Arabidopsis thaliana: one gene and its partners. The protein of the gene in region 3 interacts with the protein of the main gene of each other region in a pairwise test. Each region holds a gene or a part of one and is shown on either strand. Other genes may lie near its edges.

The links. The genes of interacting proteins can lie anywhere in the genome.
Region 1: the proteins of ICR1 (region 3) and AT3G11460 interact in a two-hybrid assay, tested with the Arabidopsis thaliana proteins (one study listed by BioGRID).
Region 2: the proteins of ICR1 (region 3) and VAR3 interact in a two-hybrid assay, tested with the Arabidopsis thaliana proteins (one study listed by BioGRID).

The regions. Positions count from the first base shown.
Region 1 is NC_003074.8:3,605,203-3,611,160, forward strand, and holds AT3G11460 (Pentatricopeptide repeat (PPR) superfamily protein), read left to right. Parts: upstream 1-3,047; coding exon 3,048-4,919; downstream 4,920-5,958. Other genes in the region: AT3G11450 (DnaJ and Myb-like DNA-binding domain-containing protein), read right to left, coding at 257-2,200; AT3G11470 (4'-phosphopantetheinyl transferase superfamily), read right to left, coding at 5,059-5,138, 5,226-5,355, 5,503-5,607, 5,693-5,848, 5,947-5,958. UniProt on the Arabidopsis thaliana protein: Involved in C-to-U editing of mitochondrial RNA. Required specifically for editing the mitochondrial NAD2 transcript.
Region 2 is NC_003076.8:5,868,657-5,875,874, reverse strand, and holds VAR3 (zinc finger (Ran-binding) family protein), read left to right. Parts: upstream 1-3,092; 5' UTR 3,093-3,203; coding exon 3,204-3,646; intron 3,647-3,727; coding exon 3,728-3,854; intron 3,855-3,972; coding exon 3,973-4,253; intron 4,254-4,540; coding exon 4,541-4,639; intron 4,640-4,738; coding exon 4,739-6,065; 3' UTR 6,066-6,179; downstream 6,180-7,218. Other genes in the region: AT5G17780 (alpha/beta-Hydrolases superfamily protein), read left to right, coding at 6,899-7,218. UniProt on the Arabidopsis thaliana protein: Probable component of some protein complex required for chloroplast and palisade cell development. Involved in C-to-U editing of chloroplastic RNA. Controls a large number of chloroplastic editing sites.
Region 3 is NC_003070.9:5,855,042-5,861,211, reverse strand, and holds ICR1 (interactor of constitutive active rops 1), read left to right. Parts: upstream 1-2,661; 5' UTR 2,662-2,759; intron 2,760-2,765; exon of another isoform or gene 2,766-2,901; 5' UTR 2,902-2,964; exon of another isoform or gene 2,965-3,254; 5' UTR 3,255-3,350; coding exon 3,351-3,364; intron 3,365-3,451; coding exon 3,452-4,472; 3' UTR 4,473-4,639; downstream 4,640-6,170. Other genes in the region: AT1G17145 (RING/U-box superfamily protein), read left to right, coding at 1-39, 374-440, 523-861; AT1G17130 (coiled-coil protein (DUF572)), read right to left, coding at 4,740-4,945, 5,039-5,102, 5,209-5,334, 5,431-5,481, 5,732-5,797, 5,940-6,074. UniProt on the Arabidopsis thaliana protein: Acts as a scaffold, mediating interaction of ROPs with different proteins. Required for primary and adventitious root maintenance, but not for their formation.

The DNA of each region.
Region 1 (5,958 bases), on a different chromosome or scaffold from region 3:
CGGAGACACAGCAGCATGAGCGATGCGCTTTATTTCACAACTTGAAACTAGACGCTAATCAAACGTTACATAAGATTATGTAAAAAACAACATACTCCATAATAGTGGCTCCAGCACTCTCAATATATAGAGACATCAAAGGGAAATGAATCATTACAAATAATAAAAAAGTTTTAGGTCTTGCTTCTCGCAAAGTAACGGTGCCCCAAGAGGATTAAAACCCAAAATTCTCATGGGACTCCGAAATGATTTTACCTCATACTCCGGTTTTCTTGTTTCTAATGATTTCCTTAAGCTCTGCAAACTTCTTCTTGCATTGGTTCATCGTTTTACCAGGGACAGCTGCAGCTACTCTCTCCCATCTTTGGCTTGTCTCTTTCGGGAATGTCTTTAAAGCTTGAACCAAAGCTCTTTCTTGCACAGTCGACCAACTATCTGCGTCTGAACTTCCACCTACTTCACCATTGTTGTCTGAGCTTTGACTGCTCGAGCTTTTCCCCACAACAGTCTCTTTAGAGGGCTTTGCATTTGTTGTGGTCGTCATTGTGGGTAGAGATTCTCCGAGCTCCTCTCTTGTGGAGAGAGGGGATGTGATTGAAGCAGAGGGTTTCCTCTTCTCGAGGAAAGAATCGAATGCTTTAGCTGAATCTGGTTTTTGCAGGAGAACTGTTTTAGTTGCTTTCAGAATTTCCTCTACAGATCTTCCTGTACCAATGTACTCTGAAATAACTTCCCATCTCCGCGATGTCCCCTTTGGATATTTTATCATTCCTTTTCTCAGCATATCAATCTCTTCCTTGCTCCATGGTTGTTTCTTCTGAGTGCTACTATCTAACTGTGAAACTCGGGTTGTAGGCTCTGTGCCACCGTTGGTCTTCTTACTTACTTTTTCTTTAGATTCGGCTTCATCATTTCTACTACTGTTGCATCCATCTTTGATCACCTTTGCCAATTCTAGTCCTTCTTTGTTTCCCATTTTATCACATAGATTCTGCAACTGCTCGGTGTTAAGTGACATGCATAGATTCTCTATATCTTCCTCAGAGATGTCAAGCAGACGCTGAGCCACGAGAGGAGCTGAGAGAGTTCTAAGACGATTTCGTTCTTTGCGTAAGAGCTTCTTCTCTCTTTCCTTAGTTTTCTTTTGTTGTTGTGCAGATTCTGCTGCTCGCTTTTCTTCTTCTTCTTTTCGCCTTTTCTCTTCTTCAGCAGCAATAGCAGCGTCCTCTTCCTGCTTCTTCTTGGCCTGAATTTTTGCATCTTTTTTCTGTTGCTTCTCAGCCTTTTCTTCCTCTTTTCTTTTCACAATTCTCGGGTCTTTTCTATACGCATTGTCAACAAGAGTCCTGATTCGAGCATGCTCCTCCTTTCTAGCCTTCACAGTTTTTTTTGCATTCTCCTTTTCCATCCACCTACGTTCTTCACGGGAATCTGCTTGTTCAAGATCATGCTCCTCTTCATCAGGAAATTCCCTCCAACTCTTGAAAGCGTACCAAAAGTTGTAGAACTTATCAACATCTTTAAGTGGTGTGTTTTCATCTCCCAAATCTGGAATACGCTGATTCACTGACCACCTAGCATTTCTCTTAAACGCTGGACCAAACACCTTGAAAAAGTCTTGCGGCAAGCAATCCGATGGGACCTCGTCATCAAACTCATCAGTGGAGTCAAAAATTCTTCTCCTAGTTGGGTCCATCAATACCTCATATGCTTCTTGAATCGCTTTGAAGCGAGATTCAATCTCATCTTTTTTTGCCTCCTTGGCTTCTTCTGTTTCCTCTAACAGAAGGAGACTAGCGAGTTTATCAGGATGATGCTTCAATGCAGCTTCACGATAACTTTTCCTAATCTGATCTTCCGTCGCAAGATATCTTAGATTGCTCAAACCCAACAACGCATAGTGGTCTTGTTGCTGGGTACCAGACTTCTTCTTTCCTTTGTTGGCATACGAGTTGAATGAAGGAACATATTCCTTCTCTTTATCATCTCCCACTTTCTTATCACCACCTTCATCGTCTGTGGGTTCTTCTGCACAACCATGCAGTTTAAGCGCAGCAGAATGGAAGGCATGACCAGCAGGTTCACGGTTTAAAGCCTTCACAGGAAGACAATTGGAAAAAGCAAAGAACGGTTTTCCATCCACAAGCTCCTCAGAGTACGTAATTAGCCTAATAGCAGACTCACTTCTCCGGCTCGGCATGATGAACAGTTTATACGAGCTGCACCTTACTCCAAGTGAATATCCACCCTGATTTCTGTCGCAATGATTAAGCATTAACCAAGTAAACGAGAGAACAGCACAATAAACTCCAGATGTTACACAAAGGCTAATGGTTTCACAAGGCCTGGTTTAAAAACACATTGTTTTCGCAAGACACTGATCAAAGCTACTAATACAACTCCGAGTATGAAACTCCATAAAAATGACGAAAAAGAAAGGAACATGATCGCAAAATACATCTCATAAGAACCCTAGAAACCAATCATACTCCTAAGGTTAGTTATTAGTTATTACTCAGTACCATCAATTGTCTAATCTAGATTTTCTACTATCAGCTTATCCTCCCCTTATGCACAAACAAAAGATGATCTTATTCAATCTTAAGATATTTCACGAATCAATCAGATAACATTCGAAAACCACTCAGCTACCATAAGTAATAAAACAACAGTGATTAAACCGATTCTCTTACCAGAAACTGAGCTCCTAGTAACCCCGATCCGTTGGTCGGAAGCTGCTCCGGCTATTACTTGCCGCGCGAGCTTCCCTCCAACCTACGGCGGTTGAGAAAGATGATGAAGAAGAGAAGGTTTAATCTGGTTTATTGAGGAAATAGCGGCGGCAACGATTTCCAGATGGAGGAAAGTATCTGAGAAGAAGAAATGGTCTATCACAGATTAATACCCGTTTGGTTTTACGTATAACTCTATTCCCCCAAATTTTCGGATTACTTTGGGCTACAGGCCCATACTATTTGGGCCTTATTCTCATAAAAATTAGAACTATGCGTTTTAACCCAAACAAGTCATAATCAGCGCGGGAGACCATGATCGTCGTTACAAGCTTTGTACGGAACTCCGCCGTCGCTGCGGTGGCTTCGACGCCATGGAACGTACGTTTGAGAGAGCTCGCATATCAGTCATTGTTTTCTGAATCTATATCTCTTTACCGGTCAATGCTCCGTTCTGGTTCTTCTCCCGACGCGTTCTCTTTCCCTTTCATTCTCAAGTCTTGTGCTTCCCTTTCGCTCCCTGTCTCCGGCCAACAGCTACATTGCCACGTGACCAAAGGCGGTTGCGAGACTGAGCCGTTTGTACTAACGGCTCTGATCTCAATGTATTGTAAATGCGGTTTGGTTGCAGATGCACGTAAAGTGTTCGAAGAAAATCCTCAGTCAAGTCAGCTTAGTGTTTGTTACAATGCTTTGATATCTGGGTACACAGCAAACTCGAAGGTCACTGATGCTGCGTATATGTTTCGTAGAATGAAGGAAACTGGTGTGTCTGTGGATTCAGTTACAATGCTTGGGCTTGTCCCGCTATGCACGGTTCCTGAATACCTCTGGCTTGGGAGGTCTCTTCACGGTCAATGTGTTAAAGGAGGACTGGATTCTGAAGTAGCTGTTTTGAATAGTTTCATCACAATGTACATGAAATGCGGGTCGGTAGAAGCTGGTAGGAGGTTGTTTGATGAGATGCCTGTGAAGGGTTTGATTACTTGGAATGCTGTGATTTCTGGATATTCACAGAACGGGCTAGCTTACGATGTTCTGGAACTTTATGAGCAGATGAAATCATCGGGTGTTTGTCCTGATCCTTTTACATTGGTTAGTGTTCTGTCTTCTTGTGCCCATCTTGGAGCTAAGAAGATTGGTCACGAAGTAGGGAAGTTAGTAGAATCCAATGGTTTTGTACCAAATGTTTTTGTAAGCAATGCATCGATTAGCATGTATGCTAGATGCGGTAACTTGGCAAAGGCACGTGCTGTTTTCGACATCATGCCTGTAAAAAGCTTAGTTTCATGGACCGCCATGATTGGTTGCTATGGGATGCATGGAATGGGAGAGATTGGGCTTATGCTTTTTGATGATATGATAAAAAGAGGCATAAGACCAGATGGGGCGGTGTTTGTAATGGTTTTATCTGCTTGCAGCCATTCAGGGCTAACGGATAAAGGTTTAGAGTTATTTAGAGCGATGAAGAGAGAGTATAAGCTGGAGCCTGGTCCTGAACACTACTCTTGTTTAGTTGATCTACTCGGAAGAGCTGGTCGGCTAGATGAAGCCATGGAGTTTATAGAGTCAATGCCTGTTGAACCGGACGGTGCTGTTTGGGGTGCTCTATTGGGTGCTTGTAAAATCCATAAGAATGTGGATATGGCAGAGTTAGCTTTTGCAAAGGTGATTGAGTTTGAACCCAATAACATTGGCTACTATGTATTGATGTCAAATATATATTCAGACTCGAAAAACCAAGAAGGAATCTGGAGAATCCGGGTAATGATGAGAGAGAGAGCATTCAGGAAAAAGCCTGGGTATAGTTATGTGGAACACAAGGGAAGAGTTCACTTGTTTTTAGCTGGCGATAGAAGTCATGAGCAAACAGAGGAAGTCCATAGAATGTTGGATGAGTTAGAGACTTCTGTGATGGAGCTTGCGGGAAACATGGACTGTGATAGAGGCGAAGAGGTTTCGAGCACTACCCGTGAGCATAGCGAGAGGTTAGCAATAGCTTTTGGGATTCTCAACAGTATTCCAGGCACAGAAATTCTTGTGATAAAGAATTTGAGGGTTTGTGAAGATTGTCATGTGTTCCTCAAGCAGGTTAGCAAGATTGTAGATCGCCAGTTTGTTGTAAGGGATGCATCTCGGTTCCACTATTTCAAAGACGGGGTCTGCTCGTGCAAAGATTACTGGTGATCTTCCAAGTGTCTCACAAACATGATGGTCCAATAATAGGCTACTTTTATTTTTCGCTTGCACAGAATGTATACTACAGAGAGGATGTACTCAAAACAGAATGATTACAGAGAAATCTGAAGGTTTAAGGCTACACTAACTAAAGAAGTTTGCTTTCAGATATAAGTTCATCTTCTACAAACGGGATGGTTTTTCGGACAATCACCCTCATAGGAGCTCCTGCAAGAAGGAAAAAGATGTGATGAAGAAATTACTGAATAAAATGGATTTTTCAGTATCAAGAGATATGTCAACTGAAAATTGCACCTCCACTAGCTTCATCATCTTCAATACAGATTGCAGCATAATGAGAATCATCCAACTCCAAAAGGGAAAACTTCCATTCTCCATCGCATTTGTTTGTCTCCTCCAGCGAACTTGCAGTCATTTCAGTCATCTAGAGAAAACAATCAAGCGTCTTTAATTTTACCACTACTGTATGTATACTGCAAATGAAATTTCAGAAAGTGTACAACACAAAAACTAATCGCATTTGATAAACTCCTTATTCAATTCCACTGTGTAAATTAAGATCAAAACAGACCTTGCAAAGATTGTATTCTCCTTTTGTTCCAACCTTGGACTGGATTGTGAAGGTATTAAAAGGTGCAGCAGAAAAGCCTTTTCCTAATGCTTTCACATATGCCTCCTGAAAGAATCATCACAACAGTTTTAAAACTTTTGATAAGCTACAATTTTCAGGCTCAAGTAAATGTGTTGTTAGTAGAAACTACCTTTAGGGTCCATAACTTAATAAATTCCTTTCTCTGAACTTCAGGGTCCGGTAAAGTTGACAAAAACTTGACTTCATCAGCAGAGTAAAATCTTTCTGCAAATGCTAAGATATCATGTTTAATCTTCCTTTCCTTGTCTTCAACATCGATACCAACCTACAGTCGTTGTAAACTGCAACTGTTCAAATTTAAAAACAAGAAACCACTAATTTTGGAAGAAAAACTGGAGGCATTTGCTTGAATAGAAGACTTACCGGAACGTGTAC
Region 2 (7,218 bases), on a different chromosome or scaffold from region 3:
TTTGCTGTAATTTTTGTTTCAGGATGAAATATATAATCTTTGTTGAAGTTTTTTAAAAAAAACTATCATCAAATTGGTTATTTTAAAGTAAGTTTTAGGTACGAAGGGAACATAGTTTTTTTAATTTTTAGGAAAACTAAAAGTACAAAAAAGAGAAGAAAATGTGAATGGTGACAAACAAAAGTTCAATTCATTTCTTATAAACCAAAAATAATAATTGAACAACCAACTCTATTGAAGACCATTATTATTCAATGATATGGACTATTTATGCTCCCATTGAACCTATAAGTTGTAGACTTTAGTTTTTTGTATCTTTTTGATATAAGAATTGAGTGGTCATTCGTTTGAATGTAATAATTATCTTTCATGCGTAACAACTTACTATAGTCTTGATATGACTAAACAAAGCTACATATTTTAGTAATTGTACTAAACTCGATCGAGTATGCAACCACATAATTTTGATGGATTAAAATACTAGAGATTAAAGAGAGAAATCATGTAACTGAACTCGAACTAGAATTAAATTCAACAATAATAAATGAAGAATAAAACAAATATAACACGAATAGACGTTAGAAACCAAAGAAACGACAGAAAAGTACCTAAAGTTTTTTATTTATTGTGTCTTGTTTTTATGTGAGTTTCGGTTATGGGAACGGTTTCGTTAATTTTGAAATCTTCTGTTGACGACAAAAAAAAAGTCTTGTACCGACGTGGAATGACGACATCATTGGCTGTTACACACGAGCGGATCGTGTTCTTACCTAACACGTGTACCGTCCTCACGAATTTCAGTTTCCGGTTCATAGAAAAGTTCCCCGAACCGTTATGGACCAATTCCACTTTTCTTTTGTTTTTTTATTAAGATACTTTGAATGATTATTATTTAATAACATTTTTGCAAATCATATTCTCGACTATGGAAGAATTATTTTTTTCCAACGACCATGAAAGTGGTCTGTAATTTGAAAGATTGTTGTATAATTTTGGGGTAAGAAGAGATAATATTAAAGACATACCGATAAACAAACATATATGAAAGATGTGGAGTATATGTAATATGTTTCGGGGGATAGATATTTTTTGTTTCGTTTGGGTTGCCATTTATTTTACAGCTATTTTATAAAAGTAATCGATTTTTAATGAGGGAGTTGTTTCATCAAATACTATCGACTGTATTTTAGGGGTTACATTTAAGATTATCAAAACTTCGACTTAAATTCAAACGTCTAATATAAAATTTTATGTGAAGTTGTTTAATGGTCCGATTAATAGCGCAAGACGGTAAGAGCTTTGTAACTGTACAAAATAGTGATAAAAATGGTGGTATGGTTGAATATGGTAAAAATGATAAGAGATGAAAAATGGTACGATAAGAAGTCGTTAGACCAAAAAACTAGCTGCATATTGAATTAGTTCGAATGAATAATAGGATTGCTTTTTCTACATAGTTCTGAGGTTACTTCTCTTTCGGTAGTTCGTGGATCCATCGGATCATGTTCGTCATTTGATAAAGTCGTCGGTGAATTTTACGAAATGGTTAGTGGTTATTGATCATTGTTTAACCACAATTTCTAACACTCTCACTTGTACGATTAAAGTTAATGGAATTGTGTTTTTCTTATCCTTTTAAAATTTGAGACAATCTTTCAATAGACCCAGAAAACAAAAGGTGGCGAGAAAAGGTAACTTCGAAACTCCAAGCGCTAAAATAATGTTCGGATAATCATGATTCATGAGATAAGTCACACTAATTACATTAACATAGAAAAAGTTTCTTTAAAACTTCTTGATTAGTTTTAAAGAAGACACTTTAACTAATTTGAGGAATTTAGGGCTTTATCTCATGATGTAATGACATAAAGTCTCTTTATTAAAATTGAATTTTAATTACAAATCATGTCAAAGTTGTTAGCCCGTCCATTGCACTTGTGGCATAGAACTAAACATGTCACATCAAAGTATAAATAGTAATTAATTATGATAAAATACATTTCTAGGGGAATTAATGAGGTTATACCTTACGGACTTAGATTGAAGTCATTATCAAGGCAGTTAATTGTCTACGTACTCACCAATATTTTACTCCACATAGATCTAAACAAAGAAATTAGTTATTACATTATAAATAGCTTAGTGTATGTAAAAGTGTTAATCAGAATAAACATTAGTCAAAAGTTGACGGCAGTGATCGGCAACTAATCCACACCCAACTTTAACTCACAGTGACTCCCACGTTCAAGAGAACACAAATATTATTCTCTCCTTTTTAGTTCCACTGATGTTTTAATTTTCGTTTCTTTCGTTTATATAAAACTATATTCATAACGTATTATTTTTTAGTTAATTTTTATTTCTTAGGTTTTATTATATATTGTAATTGTATAAGTTCTGAAACCAAGAAGTACTAATACATAATAAATATAACTATTTTAGATCCTTGACATAGCTTTTTTCTATAGTATATGTAAAAATAGTCTATATCATCTATTATTTTCGAAAGTTGTAAGTTGTAACATATAAACTTATTAATTTAAGAAAAACAAAAGTTAGAAATTAAATAACGTATGTGAATTGAAATCTCTAAACAAGTAAACATCACTTATTACGAACATATGTAGAAGTATAACTATAATCGAGGTTTGTTAAGTAAGTGAAAATTCAATAACGGAGAAATGTATGACTATAAATCTTTTAAAGTTATAGCGGCTTTAAGTCAAAAGAAATGTATGCATGCGTATGACATTGTACAATGTACACTTCAACTTTTCAAGTCACGAAAATTGATGTCAAATCGACGTGCAATTTGATAAATACCGAATCTGCAAACTCCTTTTTATATTGTATAAACTGAAGATTTCAACATAAAACTTACGCTTATCTTTAAAACATCTCTTAGATTAGATTACTATCAGTTCGTTACTTGGGTTAATTCCATTATTAGTACGAAACCATTTACTTTTTCTTTAAGAGACATCCCATTTGAATGAAATACATTATTTACCAAAGTTACCAAACATTCATAATGGCAAGCCCAAGTAGTAGCACACAGAATTATGGGCCTATGTTAGCCAATATGGGCTTATTTTTTTCTTCATTTTGCAATTATTTTGCGATTTATTAATCCTTTTTTTTTCCTTAAACATCACTGAAATAATTCTCGCCGGTAAAAATAAAACCAGTGACGACGAGCAACGATGAACAACTCCACCAGACTCATCTCCCTCTTCTCTCCTCATCCTCCTCCTCTCTTTCTACTCCGTGGTCTCTACATCAGCCGCATAGCCAATCTCCGCCGTTTCCACCGCCGTGCGTTTCCTCCTTCGTCCGTTGCCTCAACCAATCTATGTTCTTTCCGTCCACTCGTGTCATTGCCGCCGCTTATCCCCACGTTTCCTATAGGACGATTCTACAATCACCAAGTCCGTGTCTCCGCCGCAGATTTTGTTCCTTCTTATCACAACCAGCAGCTACCTGAATGGACAGAGCTACTCCAATCTCTCTCCAAAGCTGGTTACTTCTCAGATTCCGGTTCGATTTCTGGTTTAGAAAGTGAATTCTTTCCCGGTTTTCCTGATGAACTTCTCCGTCCAGCTCTTGCTTGCTTAGCTCTAGCTCGTGAACGACCAGAACTGCTTGAGTAAGTAATCTGCAATTTTTTCTCTTTCTCTTTTTGGATTGATTCTCAATCTGAATATCTGATGATGTTAGTGTTTATTAGAATGCTTTCGAGGAGAGACGTTGAAGTGCTGGTGGAGAATGGAAAGCCATTTTTATTCAAGACAGGTCCAGATTCACTTAAAAGGATGAGCCTTTACCTAAGAAGTGGTCTTCAGGGCATTGGTAAGGTAAGTTCTATCTTCTGGCAAATGCTTAGTCTTTTATTGGTGAATGCTAGGTTATGTCTAAACTTGGTTCAATGGTGATTTGTGCCTCAAAGTTATGATCTTTTGTGTTTTACATTAGTTGATGGATATGGAGAAGGCGAGTACAGTTGATTTGATGAGGCTTATTTTGAGTTATGTTGTGGATGTTGCTTCTTCTGAGGAGAGCAAACAACATAACAAAGAGATTATGGAGTCATCGGTTCGAAGCCTCTTGAGTCAGATAGCGAAGATGAGCTTGCGTCCTCCTGAGTCGAATGTTCATGACACGATGCAAAATCAGTACTCAGATAGAGATGGACAAGGAGTCAGGTCTTTTCAGAATAACGTTGAGATGAAACGTGGTGACTGGATTTGCTCGAGGTATGAATTTGTTGGATTCTCAGTAGCTTTTTGGTGTAAATCTCCTATGGCCTTTTGGTTACCATTCTTCTATGGAAAGATATAAGTAGGCCTAGATATAAGGATACCATAAAAAAAAATCTTCTGGATCTGAGCTTGAACAAGTATACTTCTGACTATTACACTAGTATTGTGGTCGAAAGATCTTATTTTTAGAGCTAAGAAGTCAGTATGGTGTAATTGTCTTTGTTTCATCATCTTGTCGTTTAGGGAATCTATATATATGATGTGGGAATTTGTTGAAACAGGTGCAGTGGCATGAACTTTGCGAGAAATGTCAAATGCTTCCAGTGTGATGAAGCAAGACCAAAGAGACAGCTTACTGGTAGTGAATGGGAGTGTCCTCAGTAAGAAACTGATTTTTTCTCTCTGCTACTTTATGACTAATGCGATGAGGAATGATGAGGTTAACCTTTCCTTTCTTTCTTGGTTGTTTCACTTATCAGATGTGATTTCTATAATTACGGGAGGAATGTAGCTTGCTTAAGATGTGACTGCAAGCGACCCAGGGACTCTTCACTCAATTCAGCCAACTCTGATTATTCAAGTGACCCTGAACTTGAGAGAAGACTGGTCGAAAACGAAAAGAAAGCACAGAGGTGGCTTAGTAAAGTAGCACAGGGTGGTTCTGATGCGAACAGTGTTGATACAGATGAAGATTTCCCAGAGATTATGCCTTTGAGGAAAGGAGTGAATAGATATGTTGTTAGCACGAGGAAGCCACCTCTTGAGAGAAGGTTGGCTAATACTGAGAACAGAGTAGCTACAGATGGAAACTCGAAAAGGAGCGACGATAATGCTTTGGGAAGTAAAACAACTAGGAGCTTGAATGAGATTCTTGGTTCTTCATCCTCTTTGACTTCTCGTTCTGATGACAAGAATGTATCTTCCAGAAGGTTTGAATCTTCTCAGGGAATAAACACCGATTTTGTTCCTTTCGTGCCATTACCTTCGGATATGTTTGCCAAGAAACCTAAGGAGGAAACACAGATAGGTCTGATTGACAACATCCAAGTGGATGGTTTCTCAGGCGGCAATCAAAATGTCTATCAAGAGGACAAGTCAGATGCAAATCACTCTGGCAAAGAAACAGATCGCCTTGAAAAGGAAGATCACAAATCAGAGGAACCTGCGAGGTGGTTCAAACGGGTCACCGAACTGCACAATGTTTCAGACTTGGAAAGCGCAATACCGCAAGAGATTTCTCCTGAGAAAATGCCTATGCGAAAAGGAGAGAATCGGTTTGTAGTGAGTAGGAAGAAAGACCGTTCACTGACTTCTCCAGCATACAAGAGGCCAGAAGATTCAGACTTTGTCCCCTTTGTCCCTTTCCCACCTGACTACTTCGCCAAAGAGAAACAACCCAAGGAATCAATAGATACTCTTCCAGCTCCGGCGACAGAAAACGTTTCTCAGGTAGTACAACAAGAACCAAGAGAACCTTCAATCAACAAATCTGATACAGTGGCAGTGAAGATCAGAAATGGAAAGAGCTTGGAGGGTTCGTTAGTGAAGGAGTCAGACTTGTTGGACATGTCAGAGGAAGCAAAAGCAGAGAGATGGTTTAAGAGAGTGGCTGAGATTAAGAACATATCAGAGCTGAGTGAGATCCCAGACGAAGATTTCCCGTCGATAATGCCGATGAGGAAAGGAGTGAATAGGTTTGTTGTCAGCAAGAGGAAAACTCCCTTGGAACGGCGTTTAACTTCTCAACGACACCAGAGAAATCCTCATATCACCAACTCTGATCCCACTGGTAAAGGAGATAAATGACCATGTAGCATAACATTTTTTCGGAGTAATATTACCATACGATTTTTGTATTTCTTTAATTCAACTTCTATATACACAATGTGTAGAAACTTTATTCTCCATCTTTACCGACGGCATCCTTTAGAAGTCGCTGTGTTTCTTCTCTCCTCCTGCACACAACAAAATCAACATTGCTATAATACATCAAACGTTACCACAACAAGCTTTTGAAGAATCTTGGATGGATGATACTGATACCATTAATATAATAAAGTTAATGCACACAAACATCTTAATGTCCTTCACAGCTTGCTTTCGCTGTTGAATTTGAAGTTCCATAATGTGAATAAGCTTTGGTCTCGCCTTGATTAAAAGAAACAACACAAATATATATACAGACAGAATGTTGTGAATATAAACGTAACACAAAGTGATGAAACATGTTGTGAATGAAAAGAGATCGTTACTTGGTGAGGCAGTAAAGAATTGAGAAAGTAATGCAAAATATTAAAGATTGAAGATATATCAGCAAGCTCCAAAAGGAGAGTTATAAGCAAAACCGAAAACACGTCGTTAGAGGCAAGATTTAGAACGAGAGGCAAGATTTAGAACGACGTCGTTTATGATATCTGCGGGTAAATCAGGCTCCCCTATTTTGGGCCTGGGAAAGCCTTCGGGCCTTTTTACTTAATAGTAACATATCCGTAAGATTTTCCGACCAAAAGAAAAAAAACATATAACATAATTGTAGTGCATGCATCTAAACTTTGGTAATAAATTCGAAACTTCTCTCATGCGACGTGGCTTAACCACTCATCTCAATTTCTCCCACGGTCTAGATTCTCTCCGCTTCTATGTCTTTCCCGAGAAAATTCGGGACAGCGATTCACGCCGCTCTATCTTTTATCGTCTTCTTTTTCTTGGACCTCCTCGACGCGATTCTCTGTGTCGTTTACGAGTTCGTCGATGAGATTTTGGAAGAAAACTCAACAGGTTGTTACTGCACGGCGGCGGCTCCTCAAAGTCAAACCACCGACGAAAATGAGTTGTCGTCGGAGACTTTATTCGGGAGGAGAAACATTTTCCGGGGAATGTGGTTTCTGGGATTCGCGAGAGAATTCAAATCCAAGCTTTCCCGGAAACTGAGAAAATCTAAGATTCATCAAGAGTCAGT
Region 3 (6,170 bases):
AGAATCATGTCTTCCATCTCACCACCCTCAGGTTACAAGGTTTGTCATTTTCCTAGAAATGGACCTAAATGACTTTTATGAGTATCCATGCCATGGGGTTGTATGAACAGCCTTTTTCTCTATTTAGCTGTTAAATTTCATTTGTATTAGTCCTATCTCTTGAGAAACTTTGATGCTTCGAGAACCGTTACAGTTAAAACTTAAAAATGAACCCCTTCTTAAATTGTCTCTTATTAGTCAGTTATGGTATTACATTTTCAGATCATTCCTTTCTGGCTAAAGTTATATGCACAACGGTAATACGTGTTGGAACTTTGAATCTGAGTGGTTCATATCAGGTGACTGATATGTGGTTATCTGGAAAACTCTTCAGGGACGGTCAGTTTGACTTTGATCTTGAAGATATAATGGTCATGGAAGCAATATGGCTTTCGATGCAGGTAATTTGTTTGGTTAGTAAACTTTGAAGTATATAGCATTTATCTGAATAAGATAAGCCTAACTATTTTCTTTCTTTAACAGGAACCAGGAATTCAGAGAAACACATCACCTGATGATATTTCAGAAAAAGATCGTAATGAGGAACCATCAACTCCGTCATCATCATCTCCATCAGGTGGGCTAGCTTGTGCAATTGCTGTTCTTGCCGAACGTCAGCAAATGGTTGGCGTATCTTCTTCGAATCAAAACGTTAACCTTGCATCACAAAACCTTGTTCCAGACAATGGTAACAACAGTCATTACAATGCCATAGAACAGGATAGTAACCATTACCTTCAAGGAGCAGGAATCAGCTATACAAGATCAGATATGACTGATGATAGCGGCGGTGAGACTTCCAGGGAAGTTACATGGCAATAGAGAGTTCCCAAAGGTAAAGAGGAAAGCTTCAAAGTTGTTATATAGTCTTTTGTTTATATTATGTTAGCGGGAGTGAATGGTTTTAGATTGTTAGTTAGTTTTGAGGGTGTATGTTGATCACTTCATACATGTGCCAATAAGAAAAACCAAAACGATTTTCAATTCCTCCTACAGAAGGTTGGTTGTTTGGTTGTATTATTATGAATGGTAAGCATTGCACAAAAATGAAATGAAGAATATAATTTACAAAAAAGGGGAATATAAATCGTGATTCCGTGAGATTCCATTATTGGTAAAACCTTAGCATCAATGAGGGATTTTGCCATTTTAGCAATTCCATGTATTTTTATCAATGAAAGCAATAGTTTGGAAGAGTTTGTGATGAATGGGGGATTTGCTAAAGGAGTAAAAGAATAGTTAGTTAGTAGTTGAGGAAATGTCAAGAAAGGACGACAAAAATGAAGATACACATGCTTTGGTCTCTTTGATATTAAATGAGAAGAGAGAACATAAATTGAAGTGTGAGTGAGAGTGGTGGTCATCTTTGGGAGTTTAAGGGTTTTTTTAGCCTTGAAGTGATTTACTTAAGAGTTCCTCTACTCACATGCTTTTGTCTTTCATTCTTGAATAAGTACACTTCACCTTTTTCTTACTTTAGAGCGTCCATTTACATTTAATTTCCAACAACTAATAAAAATATGTTTGCTCTAAATTATTTATTATAGTCGCATTTCTACTTTTTGATCAACCCATGTTAGGTCGAATTCTATTGCGTTTATATTCGAAATGGGAAATGATCATATTAAGTTGTTAACAAATATATAATGAAACTGATTTTTTAAGGCCGTGAACTGAATTTTAAGGTGAGTGATTTCGTATAGCATTTTTGAACAAAATGATAGAGCCAGCTACAACTAGTATAGTAACTAATGACATTGACCAAAACATGAAATCCAAATTATTTGGTAACAAATTAACAATAATTGTTTATTGATATGGACACCCATGCCATCAAATATTAAACGGCGATTCAATGCTATCTACATAAAATAATACAATTTGTAATCTCGTTTTCATTTTTTCCTTATAAGAAGCATCAAATTGGTTTCTCGACGTGTTGGAGATCACAAAAAGAAACGTCGAGATTAGAGAAGGTTTATAATAAAATAGAGGTTTGTAAATTGAAACATGTACAAAACCGACAAAAAGAAACAAGAGTGTCAGAAATATTGATATGTAGGTAATATACATGTGTGTGTATTTATGATAAACTATTGAAACTAATTATGTGACATAAATCCACATTTATATGCATTTCTCTGGATATATCTATTACAAAATAAATATACAAAAATTAAATATCCCATATTGATGGTTTTAGGCTTTTAGTGTTAATTCCTGAACTTTATATACATTATTATTACTGATCTTTGAAATTGTACTTCAATGATTTTACCTTGTACTCATTTAAAGGCACATACCGTATATTGATATATATCTAGGGAAAACTCACAAAAACTACAAAATTTACATGATGCTTATAAATTTGAGAAATAACATCTATATTCAATACGAACATTCACATTCACTCTTGTATTAAAATTACATTTTTTAGATCATTTTATAAGATGGTTTACAATATAAAACAAAAGAATGAAACATGCGGACTTTATATACATCATGGTTACGTTACGTGTGTGTATATGTGGACGTTATTACAAGACTTAAAATTATACTTTTGCCCTTCTCCTACCCAATGGTCCCTCGATTTTAAATTTGATCAGCTTTATTTCAAATCTTCAAAAATAAAATAAAACCATTTCTTTCTCTCTCTCTCTCTAGTCTAGGCTTCTTGGATTGAGAGAGTGTCTTCAAATAAAGCTGTCTGTTTCGAAAAGGTACATGCGTTACACTACAACTCTCTATCTCTCTCTCTTCTTTTCTGCTCATTTTTGGGTAATTCTTCTGGTTTTATGTTCTTGTTCCTATTACTGACTCACAATCAGCCAACGCAAATCTTTCTTTGACCATTTTTAATAGTTTCTCTTAGTCACTTGTTGGATTTCAAATGCAAAGTTGACCTCATCTTCTTCTTCTTCGAGGGTAAGTTTTAACTCTTTTTAGTTGGATCCTTTTGCTTATTAAATGTAGCAAACGAACATTAAAATAAAGTTTATAAGTTCCCAGCTTTGACAACTCTCTTCTCTGTTTCTGGTTTTTCTCATTTGAAGATTACTGTCTCTTGTTCTCTCACACATATCATACACTGATACACACGCGCTTTTGACGGCGCGTGATTATAATCATATCTCAGTTCCCCGGAATTTTCCGACATGAGTCATGGCTTTGGTTGTTGCTGTAATAAATGACAACTGATTTTGTTTACGTTTCAGTTTTATACAAGTTACTCCATAAACCTTCGAGCTTCCAGCAACTTTGGCTTCTCTGTTGTGAATTATTGCTTATTATATCCTCAACACGAAATCAAAATGCCAAGACCAAGGTTACGATTTTGACTAAGAAATCTCCATTTTCTCACATGAGTAATGATGTGATTTAAGATTTTTTGTTGTTGTTTGTATTTCTCTAGAGTTTCAGAGTTGTCTCAGAGGCAAGCTCCAAGGCTGAGGTCATCGTCATCTACTTCTGATTCCAATCATTCCAACCGTCTGATCACTACGGATCAAAGTTTTAAGCCCGGTGTTGACCGTAAATCTCCTCGAAGCGGTGGACCTAACAGTGATCCGCTTGGTCAGAAGAAACTTGGGGGACGAATATCGGATCTAGAGTCGCAGTTAGGACAAGCGCAAGAGGAACTGAGATTGCTCAAGGAGCAGTTGGCTAATGCTGAAGCTGTGAAGAAACAAGCTCAAGATGAGCTTCATAAGAAGTCCAAGAAACCAAACCCGCTGGCTCGAGTGGAGGAATCTGCAACTGAGGCTGAGAGGATTGATAGAGACGAAATCCCTGGTGATGTGCAGAAAGAGACTGATGTGTTTGAGGTTCCCGTTGAAAAGATTGCAGTAGAAGAAGAAGAACTGAGAAGCGGCAATGACGAAGCTGAGAAATTGGTTGCAAAGGAAGATGAGATAAAGATGCTGAAAGCTAGACTCTATGACATGGAGAAAGAGCATGAATCACTAGGCAAAGAAAACGAGAGCTTGAAGAATCAGTTGAGCGATTCAGCTTCAGAGATTTCTAATGTGAAAGCTAATGAAGATGAGATGGTTTCAAAGGTGAGTAGGATTGGGGAAGAGTTAGAAGAAAGCAGAGCAAAGACGGCTCACCTGAAGGAGAAGCTTGAGTCCATGGAAGAAGCAAAAGATGCTTTAGAGGCTGAGATGAAGAAGCTCAGGGTTCAAACCGAGCAGTGGAGGAAGGCAGCGGATGCTGCAGCAGCAGTTCTTTCTGGAGAGTTTGAGATGAATGGTCGGGATCGATCTGGGTCAACTGAGAAGTATTATGCAGGTGGGTTCTTTGACCCGTCAGCTGGGTTCATGGATCCACCGGGAATGGCTGATGATTATGATGATGGACTGGGAAGTGGCAAGAGGAAGAGTTCTGGGATGAAGATGTTTGGTGAGTTGTGGAGGAAGAAAGGGCAAAAGTGAGTTACAGATTGTGTGGAGTGTCATTCAAGAAATGGTGTGCTCACCGTTTCTCTCTTTTATTTTGCTGTATTTACCTGGAAGTTTTTGTAAGTGGGTCCGCTTCATCAGAAGCTAACTATCAATCCAAATCAATTGCAAAAACAATTTCATGAACAAATTTCTGAAAATTCTGAAAGATCTCACATATATCGACAGTATAAGAGCTCGAATTCTAAAACAGTGATATGAGATCTGTGAAAGTGCGGAACTTGTCGAGAACAAAAACAATCAATCTTCATCTTCATCACTACCATAATTCTGGAATAAAGAGGCTAAACTGGTGTTAGCCGCACCATCACTCTTCTTCTCCTCTGGTTTTGCAGGAGCCGGAGTTGACGATGAAGTTGGTTGAGGTTGCTTCTTGATGACTTTTATGTGAACGGATTTAAAGGGTTGTTTGCTGATAGCTTGTTTCTTGGGCTCCTTCGGATTTTCTGGTCGTAAATGGAGAAACCCGTTAAACATTATTCAACCGAAAAAAGGAAATCAAAGTCGATAAACTTGAAAGAAAGATTGAAAAAACCCACCTGCAGAAGAACTAGTCAAAATATCTGTGGGGTTGCTTGGACTTACTTCTGTTGCCTTCCTCTTCTGTATCAAAGATAAAAGAATTAACAGTTAGTCCTGATTCCAAAAAATCTGAAACATGATGAGAAGATGAGGGAAATCTGAAAGATATATGTTTTGATAGAGGAACCTTTGAAAGATCTGACGATGATCCTTTCTTCTCCTTCTGAAGGCTGGGATAATCATCGATATCATCATCATCATAATCATCATCAATTTCTTCATCTGCAATTCTCCTAATAACTTCTTTCTGTTTCTGCATTTCAGATGAAACAGAAATATGAAAAAGTTTAGCAAAGCTAGATGTCATGTGAAGAACCAATATTTACGCAAGAATGACATGAACACTTACACCAAATATCGACTTTATAACTGCTTCATCTTCTTCTTCTATTCGTTTTACCTGTCAAAATAAAAAGAAAATAACCATATTGGCTCAGTCAACGAAATAACTTAACATAACAATGGTACAGAACACTTTTGTCAGAGGTACACTTCGATAGAAGGCTTACAAAGAGCAACAAGATGGTTTAGTTATCAAGAAACACGAAAGCTGAAATCTCTGTTTCTTATTTAACTTAAAAACAGTATTCTGTGAAGACAATATCAAATCGCCATAAATATGAAAAAGTAACCGAGTAACAGGAGCATACCTTCTCAGCGCCTGTTCTTTGCAAGGCCTCCAACATTGCATCTACACTCACAGTAGCATGTCTAGACTGCAAAAATCAAAATAATAGAAAATCAGTACCCAAAACTCTTATGTCAGCATGTAACAGAATCATGAAATATAATCACATTTTAAGAATTCAAGAGAGAGCGCGAGGAAGTAGAAGATACAAAAAGGCAGCTGTGTCATACCTTCATTGATTTCATTTCATCAAGTGCAGCTATAATGTCCATTTCTCTTTTAGAATCCAAAGTTCTGTTCTCCAAGGACTTCATCGCGTCCCCCATCTCCTCAGCATCTCTTTTCTGTTTATCCTTATCAACCTCCTGTGCAATAAAAAAAAAGAAGTAAATTAGTAAAGAAGAAAAGCGTACATCAATATCATGCACGAGGAAACAAGCTCAAAGCTACATGTCTAAAGT